Coturnix japonica: one gene and its partner. The protein of the gene in region 1 purifies or fractionates together with the protein of each later gene. This does not show direct contact. Links are inferred from orthologs where the notes say so. Each region holds a gene or a part of one and is shown on either strand. Other genes may lie near its edges. The genes, in order: LIN28B and LARP7.

Region 1 (4,314 bases):
ACATTAAGGAAAGGAGGGAACTGTGCATATCTACACCGAGTTCTCCGTTAAAATTGACTAGTTAATATCACAGCCCCGGCTTTTCTGTATAATTAAGCTTTTGTTCAACCATGAAAAAACCAGAAACCGACTGCTTGAAAATGAGCTGTGTGACCTCTGTCCTGGTTTGTCACCTTTGACCTTTAATTCGAAGACCTTGCATATCAATTGGCTCTATTTTTAGAAGCCCAACGCTAAGAAAGCTGCGTAGTTTTTCAATTCCTATCCTCCCATACGCGATCTTGCTGGTTGTTTTCCTTTTTGTAACACCTCTGCATCAAGCCACGGTGGCAGATTTGTTTGCTTTTTATAACACAGCTGCATTGGGAACACCCAGCATGCAATGACAGCGAATGAACACTTGTCTGTGTGCTGAAAAAAATAAACTCAACAGAAAACCTTGCTTTTATTTTTTTTCCTTCCCTTGAGATGCCTAAACACAATAAAGGGAATTAAATAAAATAATATTATGGGTTGCACGCCATTCTAAGCGCAATGTCTCTTTTTACAGAGAGAAAGGGAAGCCCCTCGTGTTTGTTTGTGCTGCTGCTGCTATTTCACTCCCATCACTACGTGCTGCTTTGCTATCAGCTTTCAGAACGTCCTCTCATAAACCAAACGTGCGGTTACAAACATCACGCTCCCGCCCGATGGCCAGCTTCAGCTCCACTTCCATTTCGTGTAGGTAACGTTACACTTCATAAGTTGGCTACACAAAAACCTCTCCTACAGGAAGGAATCGTTTTCCTAACAAGAAAAGCTCGGCGGATCGATCTCAGCACCATCACTCCACACGGCGGTACCCTCCAACAGGGCTGCCGGCGGTGCGGCGTTCAGCACTGCGGCCAGCGACAGCCGGCAGCTCGCAGCGCGGCCACCGAGCGCCGCCCGCCCGCAGCACCGGGACCCTTTATAGACGCTGAACAAACGCGGCTCTACCAACAGCTGAACCCAGGTCCCCTCCGTCCCCTAGGCCCCAGCTCTCGCTGTCCTACTACCGCCCGAGCCGCCGAGCCGCAGCTGCAGGCTGTTACCTGCAGCATTTGTTTCACTACCACAAAGGCAATCCTGCTGTATTAATTATTAAGGTAATAATTTAATTCGCTATCGATTATTACTGCCTTGTACTAAGGGGACAGCACTCTCTGAAGCACAGGGACTTAGCTGCACATCTTATCAGTTGTTTTCCAAACAAGCTTTGCAGCTCTGCCTGCTCCCAAGTTGGCTTTTGAAGTATGTTTTAAAAACAAGTGACCGCTGCACCTCTGGGTGGTGCATGGACCCAACATGCAATACTGCATTTTCACCTGGTATTATATCCTAATGTTGCTGAAATTATGCGCAATTACATTGAAATTCACTACAACCAAACTTAACTATAATTATTATCCTAACAACCAATGCTACGCTCACAGCAGGATGTCTTTTTTGTTCTCGTGAGCATTCACAGTGCTTGCATGCAAGAGGTGAAATGCCAAAGCAGGCTATGGGGTGGAGAAACCCAACCCCAACATATGGCCTATAGGAAAAGGGAAGCAGAATGTGTGTGTGAGAGAGAGCAGTGAGCCATCTGTACTGAGACGGGCACACAGCACTGCCGTGCCCTCCCTGCTGCTCACAGAGCACTGGACGCCATGTGCTCACACCTACACACAAGCTAAGGGATATCACGAACGTAGCACATCTCAGGGCAATGTGTTCATCAGATTACAATGGGTAATTCCCTCACGTTAGGGCAGAAAGAGATTTAACACGAAGCCGGAGTTCTCAGCTTCATAGCCACAAATGAATCGTATTCTTTCCCAACACGTCCGTGTCATCATTTGTAATACCTTGGACAAAACACCTACACGTGCTGCAGCTGAGATGGGCGCTTATGTTTTCAATTATCCCACTATTTACCTGACTTCGCATCATTTACCACAGCACAACCGCTGTACCCGAACACGGCTGCACGCCGAAACAAGAGCAGACAGGGCAAGTCAACGCCGACCCAGCAGCAGCCGCCTCGCCCCCACGCCATCGCTGAGCGCAGACTGGGAGGAGCGGGCGGCCCGGAGTCGCTTTATTCGTTCCCATCGGGACCGTCACCTGCCGAACCCGCCGCCCTCCCTTCGCCCCCCACTCTTCCCCCGCAGCCGCCCGACTTGCGGTGGGAGCCATTCAAGATGGCGGCCCCTCCGCCGCCCGCACTCCCGGCCCCGCACGGCGCACGCCGCTCCCCGCTCGGCCTCCCGCCCCGCATCCCTCGGCAGGGCCGCCCCCTGGCGTCGTGCGGCCGCAGCGCCCCAACGGGCCCGGCCGCCCCCCGTCGGCGGTGGCCGTTCCCGATTCCCGGCGGGCGGCTCCGCCACACCCCGCCCCGCCCGGCACCGAGCCGAAAAGCAGCTGCCGGCTCCGGTCCGAGCGGCGGCGGCACGAAGGCGAAGGGATAAAAAGGTGTGAACCCGGAAGTACACCCGCCCCGCACCGACCGCTCCGCCGCGCAACTTTTCCTCCGGCCGCCGCTGCGCTCCATGCCCGGGTACCGCGGCGCCGGGAGGGCGAGAGCCGGCGGCCGCGCAGCTCCGCGGAGGAGAGGTGAAGGAGCTGGCTTACCTCCCGCGCGCCATGGTGGCCGGGCTGAGCGGGGCTGCCGTGCCGCGGAGGGGAGGCGAGAGCCAGGCACGGAGCCCGCCGGACGGGCACCGCGAGGGGGGCTTCGCCTTGCCGACCGCCGGGAGGACGCGGCGGAGAAGGAGCGGCCGGTTGGGTGGGCGAGCGGGCGGGCGGCGGGCAGACGCGGCCACAACGCTGTCTCACGCCGCAGCCGCCGCCGCGCACCTGCCCGCTGCCCGCCGCCCTCCTACGGGCGGGAGCCCGGCGGCTGCGCGCGGGGGCGCTCGAGGGCAGCGCGAACCGCGGGCGGGGCGGGGCGGCGGCATCCGCGCCCCACAGAGCAGCCTGAGGCCGCGACCCGGCCCTGGGGCGGGATGGGGGGTTGTAGGTCTGCTATTCTGGAGTGTCATTAGGTGTTGGGCTGCCTTCGTTGGTCGTCATTTCCCATAGTTGGATTTTCCTTTGTAGGTTTCATTTGTGAGGCTCCAGGCGGAGTTTTTCAGCACAATCTGGGATCCTGTCGTAGCTCGGCCAGTGTGCGCATCTTTTAATTTCCTTTTCATAAAGAATGTGTCACACGGAGCACAGCCTTAGCTGGTGTAAAACCACTCTCAGTGTTCTTGGCTGGAAAATGTCTTGTGTGAGCAAAGGAATATTTGGGGGAGGATGCTGTGTATGAGTCCCTGTGTGTTACAGCTCTGGTTAGTTTTCATTAAGTTGCAAATTAGGAACCATTTCTTCTCAGAGGCAGTGGCACCGGCTGCTGAGGGTGCTGGTGGAGTCACCATCCCTGGAGGTGTTCAAGGAACATGTCGATGTGGCACTGAGGGATGTGGTTAGTAGACGCGGTGGGGATAGGTTGGTTGGTATAGGTGATTTTAGAGGTCTTTTCCAACCTGAAATATTCTGTGATTACATATGCTGTTTGTGTTGGGCTGCTATACATGATAGCCCATGGAAATGTACATGGAATATATCATTTTCCTAGTGAGATTAACTAAAGCCTTTTCACTTTAGTTAAAAGAAAAAAAAGAGCCCTGATTCTCAATAAATGGTGCAGTTTTCCTTTTTTTTAATGGTGTGTCTATTTGTGGGAATTATTTGTTGAACATTTAAAAACAAGGAACTGATATGGGGAGGAAGTTTCTGGTTCCAAGTAACACCTTTCTTGTCACCTTCTGGAGACTGGTCCAAGCCCAGAGATGTTAGACTGAGAAGGGCTGCTCCTGTTCCATTCCCATCACTGCTCACAGCAAAGTGTTTGTGTACTCCATTATCCTGAAGAGAGACTTTGGCTTTCTCCGTTTTGCATCCAGTTTCTCATCCTTCCATGTCTATCCATCTTTGTGTTGTTTTGGTCAAACTATTTTCTGTTCTGACAATATTGTCTCTAAGTTTCCAGCCCCTCCATTAGTCATACTTTTTTTTGCCAGCTTAGTTACAGTCTGAGATTGTTCATAGTTCAGCCTACAATATTTTATGAAATGTTATTTCTTGTAGGCGAGAGTCTTTTAGTCAGGTAGTGCTCAAATTGCCCCAAACTTTCCAATTAATTATATTTTCAACAAGATAGCTCTTTGGTTTTAGATTCTCCATGCCTTCCATTGTAGGCTCTTTACATTTATCTGCAGTCATTTACAGGGGGAAGATTTAAAAGATAACAATGCTGAGGGACTT
Region 2 (3,815 bases), on another chromosome or scaffold:
AGATAGAGCTTGGTTTTGGAACTACTCAGCTCATCCTGAAGCAGAAGTTAGTTTACACATTAGCTGCACTAACAATTATGCTTTTTGCTTTAAGAATAGTAAATTTGTGGTTAAGATGATCTATCAGTATATTTGCTCAATTGTGTTACTCCAGATGGATTATATCAGTTGTGCTGTATCTATAGAGACAGACAGTCCTTTTCCAGCAAAAGAAATAATGCATTTCAGATTCCATAAGTGTGTTCTTTGTTTTCTTAAGGATTCCATACTTGAAGTATAAATCATTAGCCCATCAGTGTTGTGTGGGAAGTCTATATCACTTGTCAGAGTCCTCAATTGCATTGAACTTCCAAGTTGTTTTTTAAAGAGTGTATAGAAGAAAATTCTTTATGTTTTCTGTGGGTGTTAAAGTTTGGATGTCTCGAACAGTTTTTTAACTAAGACTGGTACTGCATAATTTTCTGTTCAGATGTTATCAGCATGACTCATCTCAGCTGAAGTAAAAGCTGGGGCTCTTTTGTGTTGGAAAGGCTAGGTTAAACACAAGGAGAAACATGTTTTCACTGCAAATTATTTCTGTACTGTAAAAGTACATCACAAAGGCTTTTTTTCTTCCTTTCTTTTCAAGGACAATTATCATTTGGAAGGTAAAAGACAGAAATTCCTTTGATAGATGAGCACAAAACGTTAAATATAGGATTCCTTGAAGCTTGAATTCTGATGGTGACAACTTTCTGTAGATCCTCATCAGTCTGCAGTGTGGGTTTGCATGCTGGAGTAATGACTGCCACATTCTTTTCATGGGAATTCTAGCTCATTCTTGATGTCTGTTTGTTACACACAAGTAGGGCTTTCTAAATTGCGTTGATTTCATCATGTGCTCCTTTTATTTTTTATTTTTCCTTCTCAGATGTTGACATATCACTGCTTGTTTCTTTCAACAAAATGAAAAAATTGACTACTGATGGAAAATTGATAGCACGAGCAGTTAAAAGTTCATCTGTTGTAGAGGTGGGTGTTCAATATTTCACTCTTTTGCTGCAATTGGATTAGTAGTTATAGTGGAACTGAAGTAGTCAGTCCTGCTGACTGTGTTGTTTTTTTTTTTTCTGGTTAAATTCTAGTTGGATTTAGAAGGAACTAGGATTAGAAGACGCCAGCCGCTGGGTGAACAACCAAAGGATGTGGATAGTCGTACAGTCTATGTGGTAAGTTTGTACCTGTTTTGTGAGCTTTGTGTCTCACAGAGCACTTTATTTCCAGCTGTTACAAATACTTTAAACTTCTATTCTTGCTGAAAAAAAACACTGTACATTTTTCAGGCTGTAACTTGATTGCAAATTATTATAGTAATAAGAATGGCACATACAACAAAGCAGCCGCATATTTTACTACAGTTAAAAGTTGGATTTTCTTTGACAAGATCAAAGTACCAGGAAACAGGATTTTTTCTCAGAAAAAAGACAGCACAAAAGGAGAGAGATGTACTAAACTTGTAATGATGAGGCATATATTAGGCTTAATATGTACTTTCAATGCAATAAAAATTTGTTTTGGGAATACAGAATCACAGAATTGTAGGGGTTGGAAGGGACCACTAGAGATCATTGAGTCCAACCCCCCTGCCAAAGCGGGTTCCCTACATCATGTCGCACAGGTAGGTGTCCAGGTGGGTCTTGAATATCTCCAGAGAAGGAGACTCCACCACCTCCCTGGGCAGCCTGTTCTAGTGCTCCGTCACCCTCACTGTATCATGTGGAACTTCCTATGCTGTGGTTTCATCCCATTACCCCTAGTCCTGTCCCCACGCACTACTGAAAAGAGACCAGCCTCACCACTGTGGCCCCCACACCTCAGGTATTTATAAACCTGGATCAAGTCCCCTTTCAGCCTTCTTTTCTCAAGGCTAAACAGACCTGTTCATTTATAACGAATGAAAATACCTGTTCATTTATACTTTTGTTAGCACAGAGAGGTCAGGGCCTGACTATTACTGCTTGTGCAGAGTAAAGGAAGTAAAGAGAAAGTAGGTGATCACAGCCAGAGACCAGGGCAAGAAAGGAATGGGTTTAGTGTCATATGCTGTCTTCTAGCATTGTCTTGATTTAAAATGCTGAGCAAAGAGCTGTTTCACATCCTGGCATGGAAATGGTGTATTTTCATCCATATCTTACTTATTTCCCTGGGCTTTTCTGATTAATGTTGCTAGAGGAGTCACAGTGGTACTAGCAAGCATTTATGAAGTAAACATTCTTTTAGTTGCAGGATTTACTTAAGTGAGCTAATCTTATGTTAAGGTTGCTTTTTAAAATATTCCTACTAGCATAATGTGGCAACCTTACTAGTTCAATGATTCACTAACATAAATGAAAATAGCTTATGCTGCTTCTCAGTATGATATTTTAGATCTCAGAGTAGGTCTACTATTATTGTATTGTTGAGCCACTTGTGTTGGGAAGTGGAAAGAGATCTGATGGTTGTACTGTCACTTCTTTAAAAGTTATGTGCATTTTTAATAGAATTGAACCCAATATGAAGGCCTTCATATAATATTTCAATGTATTGAGTGATATAACCTAACTACATAGTTAACTGGATTTTCCTTAATTTTAACTTTTTCTGTAAAACCAAAATAGGTGATTTGGGTTTTGTAATTTAGTTAATCCATAAAAAATCTTATTTGGAGAATGTGTAGCAGTTCTATATCCTCTCTTTACCACCCAAAAAGGTACAGAGTTATTTTGTTGTTGGTTGGTTGGTTTAGTGGGGTTTTGTTTGTTTGTTTGGAAAGGGGAAGAGGGATATTGTTTGTTTTATCACATTTTAGAAGCCTGTTGTGTCAGATACCCACCCCTTATTTTGTTATTACTAGACTGTTGAGCCATGTTAAATGACTTCTCGAAGTCATTTAACTCATTAAGCCATGAGGGGGAGCAGTGATCCTTTAAGGAATGGTAACTTGTCATGGAAAAAAAAAAAGAGAGAAGTATTGGTTACTTAATTCAGGCATGTATCTGGGAGTACTGATTTTAAATTGTGTTCAAATGAGTCTCCTTTAGGCACTGATACAATAGAATGTTTCTTTGATAAGGGAAGGAAAACTGTTAAGAACTGAGGCATTGTGTGTGCATGCTCCTAAAATGTGTTGCTGTATTAAAAAGCTGGTAGAGCTTAAACCAATTTGAGTAGTACCTCTTTAGTGACCTGCAAGAATTAATTTGTGTGACACCTGAGTTCTCAACATGAAACAAACAAACACAATCCTTGTGCTCTATGCTGATGAGTTTGAAGCAATACAGAGTTATGCTTACTCTGATCTTAACTGGACAGAGATGGTTTATCTTTGAACAAGGCAGTGACATGTGAAGCCTTGGTGTTTCTGTCAAGGGAAGAAGATGAACCTGTTTAATTCAATCCAAATTATTTGTTAAGATAGGAGAATGTATAGAGATCCATTTTCAGATCACTGTCTTTACTGTCTGAATGTTATGACCTCCTGACAAGAATATTTACTGAAGTAAATTATTTATTTAATGTTACATCAAATGTGTTTTTTTGTGAAGAATTCTATTTAGATGTAGCAAACCATCTGATAAAATGATAGTACAATACTGAGAAAACAAGATTTCTTTTTGCTTTTATAGGAGCTTCTTCCCAAAAATGTCAATCACAGTTGGATTGAGAGGGTGTTTGGGAAGTGTGGCAATGTAGTTTATGTCAGCATACCGCGGTATAAATCTACTGGTGATCCCAAGGGATTTGCTTTTGTTGAATTTGAAACTAAAGAGCAAGCAGAAAAAGCTATTGAGGTGAGT

Evidence for each region.
Region 2: the proteins of LIN28B (region 1) and LARP7 purify together in Homo sapiens (affinity purification with mass spectrometry; 3 studies listed by BioGRID and IntAct, with this or other methods). This does not show direct contact. The link is inferred for Coturnix japonica from reciprocal best matches to the Homo sapiens genes LIN28B and LARP7.

Annotation. Positions count from the first base shown.
Region 1 is NC_029518.1:62,741,975-62,746,288, forward strand, and holds the start of LIN28B (protein lin-28 homolog B), read right to left. Parts: upstream 2,893-4,314; 5' UTR 2,638-2,892; intron 1-2,637. UniProt on the Homo sapiens protein: Suppressor of microRNA (miRNA) biogenesis, including that of let-7 and possibly of miR107, miR-143 and miR-200c.
Region 2 is NC_029519.1:51,167,100-51,170,914, reverse strand, and holds part of LARP7 (la-related protein 7), read left to right. Parts: intron 1-910; coding exon 911-1,011; intron 1,012-1,124; coding exon 1,125-1,208; intron 1,209-3,644; coding exon 3,645-3,809; intron 3,810-3,815. UniProt on the Homo sapiens protein: RNA-binding protein that specifically binds distinct small nuclear RNA (snRNAs) and regulates their processing and function.